Linked DNA regions of Lonchura striata. The protein of the gene in region 2 purifies or fractionates together with the protein of the main gene of each other region. This does not show direct contact. Links are inferred from orthologs where the notes say so. Each region holds a gene or a part of one and is shown on either strand. Other genes may lie near its edges.

Region 1 (7,727 bases), about 4.3 Mb from region 2:
CAATCCGGAGCCTGGCGCCTGGGAGGTGACTGTCACTTCCCTGAGACACGCAGCCCATGGATCACTTCGTGTGGAAGAAGTCTCAGTCTCCCTGCAAGATGACTTATGCAGAGTATCCTTAATGATTCCGTGGCTGGACTCCATGGCTGCAGCTGCTTGTTGCACAAGTAAATGGAGCTGCAGCTGCAAATGGCACAGACTCGAGTGTTAAGTAGGGTTTATGTACCCAAAAGAGCAGAACCTTACACTGCTACTAAAGTTCATTCATCTATAGATAGTACTTGGATTCTCCTTCCTTTAATGCCATGGGTAGGGTGTCTTCTCTCTTTGCACAAGATGAGAACTGCTACTTTGCTGGGATGTTGTCAGCAACTGGCTTCAGAGGCTAAAAACACAGATAAGTTAGAGCAGATTCCTCCAGTCAGTCTTACAAAATGTACATCTGTCAGAAATACCAGTTTCTTTGCGTAAAATACCCACTAAGGAGTACAGCTGGAGACAACTTATCCCAAAGAAACAGATTTGTTTGCAGCCTAAGTTTCAGGCCAGTCGGGAATACGTGATGTTTGCTTTCTGTACTTGATCCACACAACTCTGAAAGCAGGCAGACATATCTCCACTAAGACTAAGTTGGGAAATAGAGGCAATCCTCTGAAGCAGGACCTATGAGGAGTGTGCTACATGAGGGCGCAGGTGTCCCCACACCAAGACTTTCCCCTCTGTCCTGAGCCCATCATGAGTTGTGCTCCAGTGCAGGGTTCTGGCCTGCAGGCAGTGCAAAGGCACACTGCTGGCTGGAGGAGGCACAGAAACCTCTCAGCTGATCTATCCTCTTTCACTCTTGTACCCTCGCCACTGATAGTAATCACAGTGTTGTTGATACCTGGACTAAATCAAACCAATTCTTAGAGCTCATCTTGTGCTAACAGGAACTAGAAGATAATTGACAAATCACTGTTCCAGCTGCAGTGCACTGGAGCTGGAAGACTTTTTTCCATGTCCTTTTTCCTGATATAACACAAAGGTATCTCCAGTAAGCAGCACCTAACCTTCCCTTTGGCTGCATACATGGACTGTGGAACTGGTAATGCAAGGTAACCCCAGGAAAGAAGTGTCTCCAGAGCCAGAGGCTGCTCCCAATGCACCTGGGCAGTGAAAAGAAGATATTCACTCAGAGGGTCTCCAAGAGCTCATAATGGTGTCCTGAAGCTCAGGAACCAGGGAGATCTTCCGTAGGTATTGAAGTGCTGGTAGTCACACTCATTGCCAGGGCTGTGGGTGTAGGTGATGTTGTGAAGGCCAGTTATGTATCGGCATAAGTGCTCACACATTTGTTCTCTAACAGCTTTTGCCTGTGTCATCTTTTTCTCTCTGGAGCAGTCAGTAATGGCATCAGCAAGACTTTTCAAGGGTCAGTCAGTATTTCAGTGTGAAGCATGGGATTGTGCTATTGCCAATACTACTGCTTACTACTTCTGAAAGTCCATTGTAGGCACTCATCTATAAAGTTTTTGATCCTTCTGGAAGAGAAGGAAATGAGACTTCCCTTTCTCTTAGCAATAGAAAATAAGATGCACACACAGACACTAACAGCCAGGCTGAAAGAAAGGTCTAAATAACAGCAATTCTCTTTTGCTTCCACTGAAAACAAGGGGAAACACTACACTTCAATGACTTTATGGAGCTAGTCTTGAGATCTGTGAGTCGGAAAGCTATTTACAGAAAGCAGGGGAACCCAATGGCTTTAAAAAAACCACAAACCCAAAAGAAAATACCAAAAAGAGTCCCCAGAGCTATATTAAAAAACGTTTTTAATAACAGCAACAAAGAGTTAAATCATGGGAGTGACTCTAATAGCAGATGTCGCCTTGTAAAGGTGAGACTGCTGACCTGGATCTCTCAGGGACTCTAACTTTGAATTTCCGGGCTTGAATTGAATTCCTCAGAGACATTCTGGGTTTTGCTGACTGCCTTGGTGATTTTTCCTAACATCAGGGGTAAACATACAGAGTCAAATACCCAGTAGTATTCCAGCACCTCTGAGAGGGGAGGTCAGGAGGAGCACTCCGCAGCTCTACCCCTCCAGCTGCACCTGCAGGGTAAATCCAGAGCTGTGTTTTGCCCTTCTGCCTTTGGGACATTTGTCATCCAGCATCCCTGACAGCCTGGGAGGTCTCCTGACCAATACTGCCTACCTGAAGCACCTTTTTCTCTCTCTCAGACCAGTTTTACCAGCTCCCATACTGGTTTTACGGCTCACTCTGCTGTCCCTGCTGGGAGGAGTGCTGCAGCTGATCTTTTTGGGCGTTTTCCCATACCTGGGTTTAGGATTACCCTCCTCAGGGAATGCCCTAGTGTTTCACCAGCTGCCTCCTCCACTCCAGACAAGTAAAGCTGACTGTGGACAATACAGTTGCTCAATGCAAAGGAGGCAATATGTTTCCAAAGGCTGTTGAAAGAGAAATTAAAGGGAACAGCAGCTATCTCCCCACAGGACTTCTGGCTGAGCCAAGGAGTTGACAAGTGCTGTGTTTCATGAACTTTTCAGTTTGGCATGTAAAAGGCTGGATCTGGGGACAACATTTCTCATAACACCCAAAACATCTTTGGGGCATCCTTTATCAACACTTTTCTAATTAACTTGTGCAGAAACTGGTCTGCCCTTGCTGTATAAAACTCAGGCCTGCTGTTGGGAAACAGGAACCCAACAGGCTATGGTCCTCACCATTGGGATTCCCACCCACCCGGGCAGAAGAAAGCTGCCTCAAACCTGGGAAAAGCTGTTCACTCACCACCAGACATCTGTCACAGAATCACAGAAACATTTAGGTTGGAAAATACCTCCAAGATCATCTAGTCCAATCTGTGACTGATCACCACCTTGTCACCCAGACTAGAGCACTGAGTGCCATATCCAATCTTTTCATGAACAGCTCCAGAGATGGGGACTTCACTACCTCCCTGTTCTAATGCTTAACAACCTCTTTCATTGAGAAATTCTTCCTGATGTTCAACCTGAACCTCCTCTGACCAGGTTGAGGCCATTTTCCTCTTCTCCTGTCACTTGTTACCTGACAGCAGAGCTTGACCCCTACCTGGCTACACCTTCCTATCAGGGAGTTTAATAAAGTCCCCTCTGAGCCTCCTCTTCTTCAGCATGAGCCCCCAGAGCTGCTACTCAGAGGACTTGCTCTCCAGCCCCTTCTCTGTTGCCACTGTTGTCCTTCTCTGGAGCCACTCCAGACCCTCAAAGTCTTTCTTGAAGTGAGAGGCCCAGAACTGGACATAGCAGTTGAGGTGAGGTTGCTGCTGACCAGCACCCTCAGGTTCTCCTCCACTTGGCCACTCCTCCTCCAGTCTGTTACACTGCCTAGGATTCTTGTCACCCAAGTGCAGACTAGGCACCTGTTGAACCTCACACAATTGGCCTTGGTCCATGGATCCATTTCTTTGTGTGGGGCTGGATGGCATGGGATAAAGCTCAGCATACTTAGAGCTGCCCTTTGGGGTACCTAACTAAGGTGAAGAACATCCTGTGAGAGACAGAGCAGCCCTGCCCTTCACAGGATCTCTTTGTGGTGCTGGGGGCCCAGGGAGGGTCTCTGAGTGACAGCCTGGCACATTTCCCTCTGAGGCCAGGGTGCCTTCCCCTCAGTGCAGGGAGATCACAGAATCACAGACTCAATTAGGCTGGAAAAGACCCGTGAGGTCATCGAGCCCAAGCTATGAGCCAGCACCAGCTTGTCAACCAGACCATGGCACCATGTGCAGTCTTAAACACCTCCAAGGGCACTGACTCCACCGTCTCCCTGGGCATCCCATTCCAATGAATAATCACCCTTTAGTGTGAAAGAATTCCTCACTATGTCCAGCCTGAACCTCCCTCGGCACAGCTTGGACTATTTCCAACCTATCGCTGCTTGCCTAGGAGTAGATTCCCACCCGCACCTGGCCACAACCTCTTGTCAGGCGGTCACAGGGAGCGAGAAGGTTCCCCCTCAACCTCCTTTCCTCCAAGCTGAGCTCCCCCAGCCGCTCCTCAACAGACTTGTACCTCAGGATTGTGCACCACTAGATGTGCTGTCAGGGGGAGCAACTTGAGGCGCAGCTGGAAGCTCCTGACCCACACTCCGAGCCCGCGGCTGAAGTAGGAAAGCCCAAGCCCAAGCCCAAGCCCAAGCCCAAAGCCCAAGCCCAAACCCAAGCCCAAACCCAAACCCAAGCCCAAGCCCAAGCCCAAGCCCAAGCCCAAGCCCAAGCCCAAAGCCCAAAGCCCAAGCCCAAACCCAAGCCCAAGCCCAAGCCCAAGCCCAAGCCCAAGCCCAAGCCCAAGCCCAAGCCCAAGCCCAAGCCCAAGCCCAAGCCCAAGCCCAAAGCCCAAAGCCCATCGGCCACGGCTCCGCCGCTCCGTGAGGGGAGCGCGGCCGGCCCCGCCCCGCCCCGCCCCTCAGGGGCGCGGCCCCGCCCCGCGCACGCGCGGCCGCGCTGTCCGCCTGTCAATAAAGCTTGAACAAGCGCCGCGCCGGGGCCGCCGTTTTGGGTTTTTGATTTTTTTTTTTTAATTGCGGGATTTTTTTTTTTTTTTCATTTTTCTTTTTTTTAATTCTTTTATTCCTCCTCCCCGTTTTCTTCCTCTGAAGGAACTTTATTTCCCCTTCCCCCCGCGCGCACGGGGATGCGCTGAGGCCGCTCCGCCCGGCCCGGCCCGGCCTCGGCATGTCGGGCAGCCGCCCGCCGCACCCCGCCGTGCCGCCCGCCGCCACACCGGCCTCCTCTTCCTCCTCCTCCTCATCCTCCTCGTCCTCCTCCTCCTCCTCCTCGGCGGCCATGGCCCCCGGCTCGTCCTCCTCGGGCGGCGCGGCGGCGCGGCCCGTGCTGGTGGCGGCCGCCGTGTCGGGGTCGGGCGCGGGGCTGGCGCGGCTGGCGGCGGGGCCGGCGCGGCCCGGCGGCTCCTCCGCGGCGCCGGGGGCCGGCGGCAGGAAGAGGCCGCTGCTCACCCCGCTCTGCAACGGGCTCATTAACTCCTACGAGGACAAGAGCAACGACTTCGTGTGGTGAGCGCGATATGTCGCGATATGTCACCGGGGGAAGGCCGGGCGCCGCCATGCCGTCGGGAAGCCTGGGGAGTGTGGAATAGCGGCGGGAGGAGGGAGCAGCCGGCAGCCCCTCCTGGCGCTGGGACGGCTGCTGCCCGCCGGGGATTGTGGCTCGGGGGTTTTCCCTCTTTTGTGCCTCTGTCAGAAATAGTGTGGCCGGCAGGAGTAGGGAAGTGATTGTCCCTCTGTGCTGGGCTCTGGTGAGGCCGCACCTCCAGTCCTGTGTCCAGTTCTGGGCCGTTCAGTTCAGGAAGGACGTGGAGCTGTTAGAGCAGGTCCAGAAAAGGGCTGCAGAGCTGGGGAAGGGCTGGAGCACCAGGACTAGTTGGGAGGGGATCTCCTAGGGTAGCCTAAGGAGGAGAAGTGACTCGGGGGAGACTTTGTCACTTTCTACAACTCTGTGACAGGATGTTGCAGCCAGGTGGGGATCAGACTCTCTGATAGCTAGCAACAGGACAAGTGGACACAGCCTTAAGCTGTGCTAGGTTGGATGTTGGCAAGAATTTCTTCCTAGAAGGGTTGATTATATATTGAAATGGGCTGCCCAGGGAGGTGGTGGAGTCACCATCCCTGGAGCTATTCAGAGAACAACTGGACATAGCACTCAGCTAGTTGACACCACTAGTTGGCATGGTGGTGTGGGGTCGTAGGTTGGACTTGATGATCTCAGAGGTCTTTTCCAGCCTAACTGATTTTGTCTGGTTTTGGCCCTATGTAGCGGCATTGCCTCCACCCTCTCTATTTTTAAGCAAAATCAGGTTATTCCTGGCAGGTTCCTCCTTGAGTGCACCCAAGTTGTTGGAAAGGCCCTGCAGCACGAGATGTTTCCTCACAACGTTCTGACAACACAGCAACTGCCTTGTTTTCCTGGACAATGTGACCTCGAGTGGTCTGGAGCCCTCTCATCTTTGGAAGAGGATTCATCAAAGGATTAAGTGCCCCTCTGGAAGGGACTCCAAGGACCCTCATGATGTTTGATAGCTCCAGCAAAGCTGGCTTGGTTTGCCCATGTTGCTGGGAAAGGTTGTCTAGTTTGAAACTGCAACAAGTTTTGTATCAGGCAGGCACCTACAACCAGTTTAGTAGGGAATTTCTTCTGTGATGGTCTAAAAATTTTACAGATGTTGTTTTCTAGCACCCAGCCATTCAACTGTAGCTCATAGCTGGAAATCACCTTTCAACATAATTGGCAAACTGAGGCCCATGGTTTGAGAACTGTTGGTAATTTGAATCTGTTGCTGGCAGGTTTCAAATGTCCCAACACAAGAAGTAGGTTTGGTTTTTGTAGTTGAATGTGCTAAAATGTGACAACAGGAAGTAAGGTTAGGTGTTTGCCTCTGAGAAAGGCAAACAGGGAAGAGGTAGTGGGAAAAAGATCAAGTTGTAGCAGTCATGGAAAGGAGATAGTAAAAAAAAGTTGATTATAAGTGGGCCACAGCTTCCAAGATTATTTTGACAGCTCTAATGTAAGCTCTGACTTACAGGTGAGGATTGGATGTGAGGCATCTCCCAGAGGACAGGTATTGTCTCAAAACCTTGTAGGCTTAACTTTACAGCTTGTAAAGTGTTTAGCAGAGTAGATAGGAAATACCTTTGCTACTGAAGTGAAAACCTGAAGCTAATAAGTTAGTAGCAGGAAAAACAATAAGTTATTCTTGTTAGGAATTAGTAACAGTCAAAAATTACTGCTTTTACTGTAGTTAGTAGTTTGCTCAGTAGCAGAATGGGGATGAGAGGACTGCTGTCATCAGCTGATGCCCTGCTCTGGTTCTAGGCCATGTTAGGTGGATTTAGGAGCTCTTGGTGTGAGCTTGGTTGCTCCCAGGTTTTCTGGTCATGGGGTATGAACACAGCTACAAGTGCCCATTCTCCTCTGTTCCCTCTACTCTTACACTCTGGCAGTAGAGTTCTGCCAGCATGGCTCCCTGCCCTTTCCAGTCAGCTCTTATGTCCTATTTTGTTGTCTGTTGAAGAAATGAGGGGTTTGGAAAGGAAATTACACCCATAACAAATTTGTAGACTTGATGTATTTTTAGATGGTTCAGAAAGCTGAGGTTCTTGCTTTTTTTCTGCAGGTAAGTACTGTGCGTGCTTCAAGGAGAACCTGTAATTAGCTGTTTTCTTCTCATTGAGAAGCACTACTGACTGAACAAGTGAGAGGAAAGAAATCAGCCCAGTAGCACTCAGGGCAAAATGTCATTTCTTAGTATTTACAAGAGCCACACTGAACATACTGAAGTACAGGTCAGAAGCTTTATGAGCAGACAATGGTTATAGTTAACTTGGGTTTTTCACTGCTCTATATTTCTGTGGGCTAAAGGGCTTGTTCTTACTTATTATTGTTTTAGCTTCAAATAACAGTATCTGTCTTTTTTTAAATTTGATTTAGCAATATAGTTATGTAGAAATAAACCAAACTGGGCAGCTCTGAAGTTTTGAGCAATGTCCAGGAAGGCAGGTGTGTGTTAGTTTAAATAATTGATTTAAACAAGCTTTACATATCTCAGTGTGAGAAACAGAAGTTTCCCCCATGCCTTTTTGCCTCTGTAAGGATAATTCAAGATGCTGCCAGAGGCAGAGAGCAGACTTGCTAATTTTTCTGAACATGAGCTGTAAGTTGCTGTTAGCCAC
Region 2 (6,846 bases):
AACACTGGCTGGGCTTTTTTAGAGTTTTGATTCCAGAGTCCTCCACATCAAGCTGCGAGTCCCACTCTTCCCCCAGCCTTATCCATTCCCACCTTTCCCCTGTGTCCCCAGGTGTATTGATTTGTTTTTATTTCAGCCACAGTTCCTGGATCTCCACCTGGCCACAGGAGTCCTGCTGGGAGCAAAGAGCAGGAGGAGAGGCCACGGAAGCTGGGGGTGGATGAGGTGGCAGCTGTGCCACGCCTGTGCTGTGCTGCAGACTTGGACCCACTTGAACCGAGGACGCAAACACGCCCCGAGGAACCGGCGAGGGACTGGGACCAGCAGAACCCGGGAATGATTATTTTACTTCCACTTGGCCTAAGGAAACTCTATTCCTTGTACCCTCTCACTCCCACCTTCTTTTACTGTGCCTTGATGGAGTAAATAAGAGAAAAATACTTTTGCTTTCTGACTCTTCAAACTCTTGTCTCCCCCAGTTGGAGAAAACTGGTCTATAGTAACTCCTTAAGCAAGTGTGCAAAAATCCAGGATTTCCCAGTTTTACTCACTTTAAGATGTGAAGAAGGATATCACATTTAGAAAGTGTGAAGTCCTGTTTTTTTAAAAAAAGAAGACAAAAAATCTACATAATAATTTTCTATACAATAAAGGTGTTATGGAAACTTCTCTGAGGAGAAGAAAAAGCAAAATATTCTGACATGTCTAAAGAAAAATATATATTGAAATATTTAATATACATGTAATAAAACTATATGGGAAAAAGTATTTTTTTTTTCTGTGACCACTCTTTCCAATGTAAAAAAAAATCAGAAACTGACATTTATCCTTTTTTCTTTCCTTTTTTTTTTTTTTCCCAAATAATTTTGAAGTAAGTCAAAATCATTTGAGATGCAGGAGTGAAACAAACCAGCAAACCCATTTATTCCTGGACACCAAATATAATTTAGATGGATGTGGTGTGTGCAACAAATTTTAATTTGTCCCTGAAAAGCCATTTAATTATTCAGATTATCTGATTGCCTCACTCAAGCTTCTATTGATTGATTAGAGAAGCTTATAAATCAAAATGTGCATTACTGTTGCTCAACGCATCGGCCTCTCAGAAATACAGGGCAGGGATTGGCAATTCCTAGCCACAAGTTAGTTTATTGAGCCATGTAAATGGCTCTGGTTTGTACCTGGGTCAGGAAGCATTCCCTCATCCTACTAAAGGAATATTTTCTTAAGGATGTCAGGAAAGGGGGAATAAAAGCCTGGAATTAATAGGTGTTTAATAAATCAGAGCATAGCCACCAGCTCCTTGGCTAATGGCCATGAAGGATCACTATCCATGGGTCCTGCTTTTGGATCTGCTCCACTCTGAGTGTGTCAGCGCCGATTTTGGGACTGAAATCTCAGCCAAACCCTCCCAAAGGTCCCCAGCTAGGCAGGAAATCCCCTGGGAGCAGCCAGGAGCTCCTGTCTTTGATTTCAGTGCTCTGCTGCTCCGCAGAACCTTCACAAGCACCTTGGCTCTCTGTGGCAGGGAACAACCTGCAGTGAGCAGCAGTGACGGGAATGGGTGTCCCCAGAGCCACAGGGCCCCAGCTCCCAAACTGGAATGTCTGCTCCCCAACCCCGCCTCTGCAAGAGGAAGGAAGTACAGAGCTGAAATGGGTGGAGGGGAAAAAAAAAATTAAATTAAATTAATCCCTCCCGCCTGATCCAGCCCTTACTGAAGTTAATCAAAACCTTGCAGATCAGTGAGCTCCAAAGGCAGTTTTACAGGTTATACAAATCTGTAATAAATAGAGTGGTTTAAGCTATGCTGACCATGTTCCTCATAGTTTGAATTTTGCTTTCTAGGACAGAAGAAACATGCAGCAGAAAACTCCAAAAGATAAAACAAAACAACACAACCAACTAATACATAAAGGTAATCAGAATAAATTTTAATAGTATTTGTCTATACAGCAAATTAATTGTGTGGCTTCCTATGCACCAGATACCCCCATTTTTAGCTTCATTTGGAAATATTTAAAATCATTTATTTCAAAATAAAAAACTCCATACAACAAACGACCTCGAATTCAAGTCTTACATTTCTTCAGATTTTCTTCCTTGCCCTTTATAAACATGAAAACTGCGGGGTGACACTGAAATCATTTATGGGCTATCCCCGGGGGCTGTAACACTTCAAGGACGGCCACACGAGATCCCCATCTCTGACAGGGGCCAGGAGTGGGTCCCTAGGGAGCCACCCCAAGCCAGGGATGCCCCCCGGGCACAAGTCATTTGCAGCCCTAGGATTTCCAGAGCCAGTGTAGATGCTCCGTGATTCACAGACCTAAAGTGATTTCTCTTCCGTGAATTCATCCATCACGTTAAAATCCCTCCGTCCACCCTTGCCAGGGAGTTCCAGCGCTGAACCGCAGTTCTTTGGTTTGTTCCGAACCTGCCAGTTTCATTTGATGTCCCTTGGCTCTGAGGCCAGAAGAGTCAGCCACAGGTCTCTATTTATCTTGTATGTAAACATTAAAAGGAATTAATTTGAGTGCTCACTGCATTAATGAAATCCTGAGATTTTCTTATGCATGCGCAGTAACTTAGTGCTGTTTGGCTGAACAGTTTACCCAGCTGAAGTTTGAGTTACCTGCAGCCCAGAGAGATGCTAACTCTGTGAAGGCTGTACAGACACCAGCAGCACACAGTGAGCCCCCTCATCCAGTCCAAAACGTTTTTTTTTTATTTTGTGCTACAGACTGTTAACACACTGCATGCATTATTTCCATCATTCCCGTTAACACCAGTGCTTGCCATGTGGCCAAAGTCAGGTGGGAACAACGCAGAAGGAAAAATCCCCAACAACTTCCAAGAGGGGAGCTGGACCTTCACTTTTCTTTCATAGATGCTGATGTTTCTGTTTGCTTCGCTGCTCCTTTCTATACGGTAACTGGTAATTATGTCATTACATCCAGGAAAAAAATAGAACTGGGGAATTTGAAAGGGTGTTTTCAAAATGAACCTAAGTTTGTTAGCTTCACATGTCGTGTGAAGGGGTTCAAGCTGACAGATCAAGTTCTGCACTGACAAAAAGCTGAACAGCAGCAAGCCAACAGCTTCGAGTTGGAAGCACGAGGAGCACTTGTTGCACTGCTGGCAATCAAACCCACCAGGACAGCCCTGCAGTCCCTGTGCCACCCCGTCCTGTCACTGCCTGTCCTCAAATACCTGCTGCACTTTACTCCAGCGGTGGCAGCAATCCCAAATCCCCAGCACGCCGAGAGAAGGGGGTGTGCGGGGCAAGGGAAGGCAAGCGCATCCCTGTGATCAGCGCTCTGCCCGCACGGAGCAGCGCAGCGAGGCACAGCTCCCATCTGTTGCTGCCAGCGGGGACTTTTCTCCTCCGCCGCGATCCTCCGGCTCCAGCCCTTATTCTCCCTCCCGCCCAACCTGCAATTCCACAGCAATACTGGGACACTGTCTAAAATTAGGCCGTCGCTGTCCCTTCCCCTTGGAGGACGAGTTCAGAGAAACCCATCCGTAACCCGGCTTTTTCCTGTCGGGTTTTACTTCCCCTCCGTGTTCTCCCGGCTATTCCCGAGGCCGGGAATCGGCTCTCTGTGGAGGCAGAGCCGTGCCCGGGGGCGGGTGCGGGCGGAGGTGCGGGGGCGAAGGCGAACCCCCAGCGAAACCCCGCGGGGCCGGGCGGGCCAGCGGGGACTCCCCGGGCGGCGCGGGGGCAGAGCCCCGGGGGCCGGGCGGGCGGCGCGGGGGAGCCCCGGGGCCCGGGCGGGCAGAGCCCCGGGGCCCGGGCGGGCAGGGCCCCGGGGGCCGGGCGGGCCGGGCCGGGCGGGCGGCGCGGGGGAGCCGCCGGTGCCGCCCGCGGCGCTGCCTGGAAGCGGCGGGGGCGGCGGGACGGGGAAACCACGTGGGGCTCCCCGGGAGCGCCGCCACCTGAAGGGCCGGACCGGCGGCGGGGGGAGGGAAGCGCCGGAACGCGGCGCAGGCAGCGCAAACAAACAAACAAACAGGCAGATAAACAAACAGACAGACAAACGGACGGACGGACGGACGGACGGGGCTCGGCGCACCGGCGGCGGCCGGCCCGCGGTAACCGGATCGTTCAAAAACAAAAAGACGTCAGCCCACACTGCCCCGCGCGCGCGCCCCCCCCGCCATTACGTCATCCCACAAGGCCCCGCGCGCTCAAGAAGCTTCTGAAGTGGGGGGGGGGCGGGGGGTGGCCATGGCGACCGCGCGCCGGGCCCTGGCCCCGCCCCCCCCTCGGGGACGGGGCGGCAGCAGCCAATGGGGAGCGCGCGGGGTGACATCATGCGCTATTTTTAGCGGGCCCGCGGCCGCTGATAAGTGAAGGGCTGCACGGCGGGAGCGGGCGCAGAGCGCGGGGTGGCGGGAGCGAGCGAGTGAACGAGCGAGTGAACGAGCGAGCGCGGCCGCCGGGACGGTGGAGCGGGAATAGCGCGGAGCCGGGCAGGGAAAGTACTTGTGGCGGCGGAGCGGCGTCCCGGCACCACCGGCGAGAGGAGGAGGAGGGAGGCGAGGCGCCCCGCCAGGCCGGGCGGGCTCTCAGCGCGGCAGCGGCAGCGGCGATCCAGTAAGGCTCCGCGTTTCTCCTTCCTCGGCTCCGCGTTCCCCTTCCCCGGGAGGGTCGGGGTGCCCGCGGGGAGCTGAGCGGCGGCCGGGCAGCTTCCCTTCCCCGGACTGTGTTCTATGAGTGCAAAGATGGAGCCTACTTTCTACGAGGATGCGCTGAGCGCCGGCTTCGCGCCGCCGGAGAGCGGCGGGTACGGATACAATAACGCCAAGGTGCTGAAGCAGAACATGACGCTGAACCTGTCCGACCCCTCCAGCAACCTGAAGCCGCACCTGAGGAACAAGAACGCCGACATCCTCACCTCGCCCGACGTGGGGCTCCTCAAACTGGCCTCGCCCGAGCTGGAGCGGCTCATCATCCAGTCCAGCAACGGGCTGATCACCACCACGCCGACCCCGACGCAGTTCCTGTGCCCCAAGAATGTCACCGACGAGCAGGAGGGGTTCGCCGAGGGTTTCGTGAGAGCTTTGGCGGAGCTGCACAACCAGAACACGCTGCCCAGCGTCACCTCGGCCGCCCAGCCCGTCAGCAGCGGGATGGCACCTGTGTCCTCCATGGCCGGCAGCACCAGCTTCAACACCAGTTTGCACAGCGAGCCCCCGGTGTACGCCAACCTCAGCAACTTCAACCCCAACGCGCTCAGCTCCGCGCCCAGCTACAACGCCAACAGCATGGGATACGCGCCCCAGCATCACATAAACCCGCAGATGCCCGTGCAGCATCCCCGGCTCCAGGCTCTGAAAGAGGAGCCGCAGACTGTACCTGAAATGCCGGGGGAAACTCCTCCCCTGTCCCCCATTGACATGGAGTCACAGGAGAGAATCAAAGCCGAGAGAAAGCGCATGAGGAACAGAATCGCGGCGTCCAAATGCCGGAAAAGGAAGTTGGAAAGGATTGCCCGGTTGGAAGAAAAAGTGAAAACTTTGAAAGCCCAGAACTCAGAGCTGGCATCCACTGCCAACATGCTCAGAGAACAGGTTGCACAGCTTAAGCAGAAGGTCATGAACCACGTCAACAGCGGGTGCCAGCTCATGCTCACACAGCAGTTGCAGACGTTTTGAAGAGACTCTTCGGCGAGAACTGTGTGTTGTGGTACAACTAAAAGAGGAAAAATCCAAAGTGGCAGAGGCATAAAGCTAATGGCAAAGAGCTGAGGGGCTGTCCTGCCTGTGCTCCGCAAAGCGCATGTGTGGAAAGACTGGCAAAGCCTTGGGCTGGAGCCGGGAGCGCAGCGGGCAGCGCTGCTCCGGGAAGTGCTGCTCCTGCTCGGATGAGATGTCAGATCTTCGTTTAACATTGACCAAGACCTGCATGGACCTAACATTCGATGATCATTCAGTATTAAAGGTTAAACTGCAATAGAAACTGTAGATTGCTTTATGTAGTATTCCTTAAGAAAAAAAAAAAAAAGTGGGAGGGAGGTTTGTGGGAGGCTGATAAACAAAAAAAAAAAAAAGAACTGTTCTGCCTGCCTTCAAGTAAATTGTGTATGTACATATCTTTTTTTATTTTATTTTATGAAAGTTGATTAATGTCAATAAACTACTTCATGACTTTGTAAGTTATTTTTATGTTGTTTATTTGGGCACTGCCCAGTATTGTTTGTAAATAAGAGGCTTTTTTTTAGCACTCTGAGTTTACCATTTGTAATAAAGTATAATTTTTTAATGTTTCTGTTTCTGGAAAAAAATTCTAGAAGGTTCTATTATATTTAAGAAAAATAAAATAATTAAAATGTATTTTCCCCTCACACTTTTTTTTTTTATTTTTGGCTAGTACCTTAGTTGGGAAAATGCCCTTTGGGCTGCAGTCTGAAGGGTAGGGATTATGCTGAATTTACTCTGTAACTCCAGACATGTCCTGGAGAAGGTGTGAGGAGGGGAGGGAGAAGCCAGACCGTCCTCATTAAACTCCTACAACCTCTGGGGCTGTCCTGAAGTTGGATTCCCCAGCTGCAGCCTGCCTGCCTGCCTCGTTCTTGGGGCCCAGTTTAGACATCTGACTTCAGGCAGGGTTGTGGAGGGATGGAAAGGCAGGGAACAAAATTGTTCCATAACTGGAGCAACTGGCTACTTGATCTGACATGTTTTTTATTAAATTAATGCCCTCAAGAAGATAAGGCAGGTGGCTGTATTAAGAGAACTATGCTGTAGGCTTCAAAAATAAAAATATTCACCTTTATCCCTGTATTTTCTCAGGTAGGAGGTGATTCTTGTCTGTTAATATTTATGACAATGCTGCTGTCA
Region 3 (7,381 bases), on a different chromosome or scaffold from region 2:
CACCATCATTCTCTCCTGCAGGGCGAAACTCTTTCTTGCTGCAGATAGGTATTGTACTGTGGCTTACAGAGTTTGAATGTGCAAGTCCTAGGTCACATCCTTCAGTGAATGGTTTTCAGAATTAGCCATCAGGATTGCATACTAATACTGAAGACAAAGATCAGGGAAAAGGGAAGCAGATTCGTGAGGATTTGGGTGGCAAAAGTGGATGGGTAACAGATGAAATGCACTGTTTCATATAGCAAATGTTGGATAGCAATTGTACAAGCAAGCAGCAGGTCTGAGGAGTCCCAGTTAGGCAGAGCCACAGCACAGCTCTCTCAGCCGCAGTGGATGGGAGGCAATCATTAATCCTGTCAGCTTGCACTGAGAGGTAATGCCAGAGAGAATTTTACATGTAGGACATCAATATGGCTTTGTATCTGCCAGGTATGTCCCACATGCATGTTGTTGGGCTAGTCAGCCCTGAGAGACTGCAGAAAGGTGAACTGGAATAGCTAACATCCTGATTAGACTTAGAATATTGATTAATTTCAAGCACATAGAGCTGTGCTTGGTCATGCAACAGAGATGTTAAAGGTCTAGTGTATCATTTGCTTTCTTGGCCAAGAATATATCAGGGAGGTAACTGTGAGCTCATCACTACTGACAGTGGCATCAGGAGGGTGCAGAGGGCAAGAAAAGGACTACCATTGCTGGGATCTTGAATATGCTCAGTGCATTTGGACAGGGCACATTAAATATCAAGGACACTCAGGAACCTTGCCCATGCTGTGGCTCTTGTTGTTGTTGTGTTCAGACAGGGCTGTAACAGGTTTCAGAGAGAAACCTGCCAAGAGGGACCAGTACTGACTGCTTCCCCTGCCCACCTTCAGAAGACACTCCTGCTGTGAGAGGGCCATCAGACAATCCAGAAGAGGGCTGAAAGAACAAGGGTGGTTGTGGAGCTGTTTTGGGTGTCCTGGCCTAAGCCCAAACCCAGCCAATGAGCAGCACAGTTCATCTGTGTAGAGAAGGCAGAGGAATGCATGCTGGCAGGTAAAAAGCAAAGACTTTTCCTGATGACTGAGAGCAACTCCTCTGCAGTCAAACTTCTGTGCTGGTGCAGCTCTGTTTTGCTCTAGAGCTCTCTCTGTTCCTGATAACTTTCTGGCCCCATGTTGTGTTGCAGGGGCTGTGTTTCCACATCCATGAGCCTTCACCTTCCACACACTTCATTTTGGACAAAAATATGAAAATCATCCCTTTCATCTGAAGAGAAAGCCATCTGCCAAGCAGCAAGGTACTGACAGCTTTTTATGTTCTGTGCAGTGGAACTTTTGCTTTTTTTCTCAACAGCTCCTGTCTCCCTTGCAAATGCTGCCATTCACATTTGATTAATTTGTCTTTGTCAGCACATGTTTCCACCGCAGTGGCAAGACTGACCAGCCCTGGTAGGGCCAGACGTGTTTATCTGCATCATTCAGCAAACAGCCTGTTGTAGGTGACTTTTTTGTTCACTTTTACCCACTGAAGCCACGAATTCTCAATTAATTGTTACGTCTTTTCTAGCCAAAATGAAACTATCTGAAAAGTAAACATATTTGGTGTTTACATGAGGCAAAACCCAGCTTGGGAAAAGAACAGTTCAAGCACAGGCTGCTGCAAGAGCAAGGAAAATTCCCCTGTGAGACAAGAGTTCCCAAGTCAAGGAAGAATGATGCAAGTTTGTCCCTTTAAATATGTGCGTAAGCACTGTCCCAGGCAAGGATTGCTCCCCTGGAATGTGCTCTTCAATAGTTAAGTAAGTCCCAGTTAGGACTAAGTTGTGTTATTATAATAATGGAGGCTCAGCTGCCTCTAGAACATGCAGTGGGGAAGCAGGGAAGGGAAGCAGGCTGATGGGGTCTCCTTCCCATTTCCCAGCCTTCTTCAGCACAGCCTTGAAATCAGTGCACTGCAAACGTGCTGCAAGTGCTGGTCTTTTACAGACTGGTAGATGTTGCATCCCTGCTTCCATCCTGTAGAGGCTGTCTGAGAGAGAAAGGGCCAAAACTCAAGGCTGGGGCAATAGATGTCTGTGTTGCAATGAGATCTCCCAGCTCTGCCCACCAGTGAAAGGGAAATGAAAAAGGCAAAAATGGTGGAAGACAGAGCAGGGAGAGCTCTTTTTCTTCCAACCCCCTGCAAAGAAGGGGAAACGGCACTTTCCCACCTTCCCTAGGGTAGAGAAAAGTGGCAGGAGGAATTATGTGCTGGACTGGACCTTGCTCAGTCAGGACATCAGCCTCTTCTGAAATCCCTCTGGTTTGTCCTCTTTCCTTCCCTCAGGATGCAGTAGTTGTGAGGAACCTGCCGTGCCCTGAAGGCAACTCGTCTGATTTGCTAGAGAGATGTTGTTTGTCAACCCCACTGGGATACCTGCAGCTTAAGGCAATAGAAAAGTCTGTCCTATCTGATGCAGGAAGGAATGCATATGGAAAAAATATATTGTGGCTGATATTTCTCCTTTCTCCTGAAGATGAGGTGCCAAGATTAAGGAAATATTGGGGTTGTATGCAAAAGTGTACAAAAAATATTCTGCCTCTCTGAAAGTGAAACAAACAAAAGAACAGCAGCATGAGAAGATTAGTAATGTGCAGCATCCTGCCAAGCCAATATGTTACCTATTTCTGTAGGACAGCTTGGGCAGATTATATCCTACATAGAACACAGCATTTCTGATCCCATGTTCTTGCTTAGTCCCAGATCTTTCCAACTGAATTCTCTTGCTGAGGCACAGATGAAGAGGACAAGGCTGGAAGTACTGATGGCAAAACCTTGTAGATGATGAATAATGTGAATCCTCAGTTGTGAAAATAAATTAAATTGGTCAATGCTGAAAAGAAGCAATGACTGACAAGTCAGGGGAAGGAAAACAAGGTAGAGTGGATGGTGCCTCTCTGTGGTGCTAGGGGGGTCAGAGAGGTGACACTGTCACTTAGCTGGGTAGTGCTGCTCAGCCTGGTGGTTTTGCTAACTACTCTTAAAATGTTGTCTTTCTGAAGTAAAAGGAGCCTTTCTGTCCTGAAATGCCTTAGGAGCAACAGCCCTGGAGCATCCAGTACCTATGGCAGATCCAGCATGATCCTCCAGTTGTGCAAAGCTTTGCTTCCCTGGAAGAGTTTGGCTAATGCAGCTGGGAAGAGGCCAATGTTAGAGAGAAAGAGGAAAGAAAAACACAAATAAGTTATCAGGAAGGCCCCAGTCTGTCACCTGCTCCATGATCCCCATCTGACATCAAAGTGCTAGAACACTGGGCACCACGAGTGTACCTGTGCTTCAGGCAACATCCCTCCCTGATGTCCCATTGATGATAAAGAAACAAAACAGCTGGAAAGAGGTGCTTTGAACCCCTCTGCTTCCTCCTGGTTACTCTCCAGGCCAGTCAAGGGAGTGGTGGAGCTGGGGCTGACAGCCCTTGGCCCTGTATGAGGCAGACTAGACCGTGTTGCGTGGGGCATGAGCAGGCCAGGCTGGAGGAGGGATGGAGATGAGAAGGTTCTTGCCTCCCACCGGACTGTAGAGTGACCCTGCAGCCTTCCCTGTGCCTGCGCCTTTGCTGCCTTGGGTAAGGTGTGCTTGATGCTGGGGAGCACTGGATGCTCTCTCTGGTCCTTTGCCTCCTTCTTCCCAGGCTCAGGGCTGAGGAGCGGAGGCTCTACACAAATTGGGCTAGCTGGGGCTGCGGCGGCACCGGGCCGTGTCACCGCGGCCGCCGGGGACGGTGTCCGGGCGAGTGCCGGGGGACGAGAGCGACGTGAAGGGAAGCAGAGAGTGTGCGGAGGGGCGCATACAGGAGCGTGGGGAAGACACGCACCCGGTCGGGGTGCGAGGCGCCGGGGCGCCGTGGTGCGGAGGGGTCAAGCGGTGCCGGAGCGTGCCGGGGATGCCGGCTGCGAGGGCAGAGGGTTGCCGAGGGGTGGCGGGTGCAGAGTCCCGGGGTGCAGGATGCGGAGGCGCCGGGCCGTGAGGTGTGGGATGCCTGGCTATGGGGTGCGGGATGCCGAGGTGCGGGATGTCGGGGTGCCCCGGCTGGTCCCACCCCTGCGCGGCGCTCCCCGCCCCGCGGCCCCGCTCCCCCGCCCTCCCTGACGTGTGGCGCTGGCAGCCCGGCCGGTTCCGCATTCCCGACCCCTCCCCGCAGCCCAGGGGCCGCTATATAACCGGGGCTGATGCAACCCACCCCGCCGCCTGCCACAGCCTGCGGGAGGCGCGCACCGGGGCGGCGGGCGGTGGCGGGCCGAGGCGCCCCGGCGGCGGCCGGCACCGACATCGGCACCCGGCGGGGCCCGGGGGTCGGGGCAGCGGCGGAGGCGGCGGGGCTGAGCCTGCAGCCCGCGCCCGGCCCCTGCGGCCGGGCCCCGCGGGCACCCCGGCAGCCCGGTCGCCCTGCACGGTGGGTATGGGCGCGGGCGGGGGACGTGCCGAGCGGGCCGGGACTGCGGCAGGGGCGGGCGGCGGCGCGGGGGTGGCGGACAGCGGCGACGGGGGCTGGAGTGGGGGGCGCCCGGAGGAGCATCCCGTCTCCCGCGGCAGCGGGCAGGGCGCTGCTGTCCGGGCGGTCGGGCGCGCCGCGGCGATGCCGGGAGACCCTCCGCGGGGCGGGCACGGCCGCACGGGCGGCTCGGAGCCGGCTGCTGCCCCCGCACCCGGCGACGCGCGGGGGCTGGGGGTGCCTGGCTCGGGGCTGCTGCTGCACTGAGGAGCTGCGGGGCGGCGGGGGCCGCCTCCCCCCGCTTTTCGGCCGCCGCCGCCTCGCTTCACCTGCCGGCGGGGCGCGCAGGTGAGGGGCGCGGGCTCCCCGCGGCTCCGGGCCGGGCCGGCGCGCTGGTTGTCGCCAGCCGTGTCTCCAGCCCGGGAGGCCCGGGGAAGGAAAGGGGCCCTGGAGGTGCCCCCGCCGCGCGGTCCCAAGTCCGCTTTAGCAGTCAGGCATGGAGTTGAATGGAAGTTGCATTCTTTTGCACGCTCTGCTCCAGGAGGCACTTTTCTTTTTTCCATGGAAGGGAAATAGGTTTGAGAGCAAATTGGGGGAAAGGGAGAAATACCAGGGGAGCAAGAGCCACATTATGTTTCCATTTTCCTTTAATGAAGGCCCTGTGGAGGTGTATTTGAAAACACAGGGTCTCCTATGCCTTCAAGGAGGGTGAGAACACTGTGCTGGCTGGTTCCAGGGCCATATGCAGCGTATGGTGGCCAATGAAACAGGGCCTGGCTCGTTCTCTTGCTTGTCTTGGCAGCCTGCTCCATGGCTTGCATTACCAGCCCTGGAACACAACCACTGCCAAACTGTGAGTGTGTGTGCATGTGTGTGTGCTTGGACTCCAAGAGCTCAGCAGAAGCAAATGCTTCTGTAGCTCAGACCAGGATTTTTTAGCTAGTTTTGGGACAACTTGCATAAAAATCTATGTCTGGAGGCTCTTGACAGAGTCTGCCCTGGGAATTTGTTGCTAAAAGCTTGTGTGAGGGCATCTGTGAATGCCAGTCTTCGCAGTTTGGATTCTTACTGAGTCCTAGTGATTTAAAAATGCGAAACCTACCCATCTAGGGGATGAGTGCATGGGTGCAGGAGCTGCCATCCACACCATTACTATGTCATCCAGCAGCTGGTTGCTCCTGGTGTCTGGGGAATTAACAAAATCTGCTGAATTAGTGTGTAGGTTATTGCCTCTGCTTCCTCATTGAGACTCCTATGGATGCTTTCCCTGCATCCTCACAGTTGAGTATTTCCCTCCTTACAGGATGCAAAGGTCTCTGTGCTACATTCCTTGCCAAGGAAGAGTAAATACTCCCTCGGACCTCTTGCCTCCTCCTGCCCTGTCCATCTGAGCAATGTGTCCAACTGCTCATGAGCACTGAGCATCTGTTCTGTGGTCTCCTTCCCTGTGCTAGTGTTAGCTACTTCAGCTGCATTGCCTGGGCCAGGTACTTGGCAGCATGCAATGACTTGAATGTGAAGCTGTAAGAGGCTCTTTTCACTGCAGTGGCTGTTCGTAGTGGGCCTGGCCCCAAAGCAAGGCAGGCAGAGCCATGGTGAGGCATGGAACCCCTTGCCAGCGTGTGTGTGTCCTGCAGTGCCAGTGCAGCAAGGAGGGGGCACTGCAAACCTGATGCCATCTGTCTTTGGCTGCATTTCTCAGTTGCTTGGACTGTCCAGAGTATCAATCCAAACATTGCAGGCTATTTTAACATGCAGCCGGAGAGCTGAAGGCACATACAGGCCTCTGAGCTGAGCAGTGCTGTTGCAAACTAGCCAGAGTTAGTCTTTATATGGATTAGAGGTCTTTGTGGATGACTCTGGTATTTAAGACATCATTTTGAGGAGTTTGTAGGGGGTGTGGGGGCTGTCATCTCTGAAGCCATCCTTGACCCCTGAGGGCAGAACTTTGTGCTGGAGCAGGATTGTCTTCTTGAAGAAGATTCTAGCCCTGACCACATGTGGTTATGGAAGGTCCTGGGTAACTTCAACAAGTCAGTTATTGGACTGCAGTTCAGACACTGAGGTTTTTCTCAGACCATATTCTTTCCTTCTCAAGCCCCTTTGAGCTCCTTCAGGTACGAATAGGATAGCTTTTACCTTCCTGCTCTATACTGCTGTCCAGTGGGTGGTACAACCTCAAATAATTAATTGCAATCTTAATAATACTTTGATAATTAGTGGCATTTATTTGCAGTTATTGCAATTAACTATCAGAGTAGGGGAGCCTTGTTATGGTAGGTTCTGTACAAAACCCTGCTGTCACAGGTTGCTTGGAAGTCAGTCACTGCATTGCAGTGGTGGGAGCAGCTAAACTAGAGTTTTTTGCTGCCCTGTGAAGGTATGGAGGAAAATGCTCAGGGAGGAAGGGCTGTGAGCTGACTGCTTTGCTGATGGCAAGGGGAGATTATTTCTAAAGCTGAGGACTGGAGAACCAGTATCCCTCCCCCTTCTCACAAAAGGGGCAAGAAGTCAAAGCATTAGACAGGCAGGTGTGGAGGCCTAATGGTGAGACTCAGTTGGACAAGGGGCTGCAAAATGGCATTTCTGCCAAGGAGACACTGTCTGCTCTGGGCTGCTCTATATGCATCATGTAGGAAGCTCTGAGTTTCCCTGATGGAGAAGAGGAAGGAGGGCAGCAGGGCTCTTTGCATTCCTGTTTTTAGAAAGCTTCTTATAGCCCTCTGTCCTGTCAATGACTCTGATGTTCCTCCTGCCAGCTAGATGTGCAGGACTGAGCCAGAATGTTCCCACTCATGAAGTAGGTTTAGAATTCCACCTCCTGAGGAACAGTTCTTCATACCTCCTTCTTCTGTTCAGCATTGTGGCCCCCCACTCACTCTGATCTGGGGGTGGGAGGTTACATGTATGGGTGTTCACAAACCC

Evidence for each region. The genes of interacting proteins can lie anywhere in the genome.
Region 1: the proteins of JUN (region 2) and COP1 purify together in Homo sapiens (affinity purification with western blotting; 9 studies listed by BioGRID and IntAct, counting the BioPlex papers as one, with this or other methods). This does not show direct contact. The link is inferred for Lonchura striata from reciprocal best matches to the Homo sapiens genes JUN and COP1.
Region 3: the proteins of JUN (region 2) and JDP2 purify together in Homo sapiens (co-immunoprecipitation; 3 studies listed by BioGRID and IntAct, with this or other methods). This does not show direct contact. The link is inferred for Lonchura striata from reciprocal best matches to the Homo sapiens genes JUN and JDP2.

What each region holds. Positions count from the first base shown.
Region 1 is NC_134611.1:3,320,964-3,328,690, forward strand, and holds the start of COP1 (E3 ubiquitin-protein ligase COP1), read left to right. Parts: upstream 1-4,710; 5' UTR 4,711-4,716; coding exon 4,717-5,054; intron 5,055-7,727. UniProt on the Homo sapiens protein: E3 ubiquitin-protein ligase that mediates ubiquitination and subsequent proteasomal degradation of target proteins.
Region 2 is NC_134611.1:7,572,636-7,579,481, forward strand, and holds JUN (transcription factor Jun), read left to right. Parts: upstream 1-4,374; 5' UTR 4,375-4,716; coding exon 4,717-5,661; 3' UTR 5,662-6,339; downstream 6,340-6,846. UniProt on the Homo sapiens protein: Transcription factor that recognizes and binds to the AP-1 consensus motif 5'-TGA[GC]TCA-3'.
Region 3 is NC_134608.1:23,066,666-23,074,046, reverse strand, and holds the start of JDP2 (jun dimerization protein 2), read left to right. Parts: upstream 1-4,364; 5' UTR 4,365-4,417; intron 4,418-7,381. UniProt on the Homo sapiens protein: Component of the AP-1 transcription factor that represses transactivation mediated by the Jun family of proteins.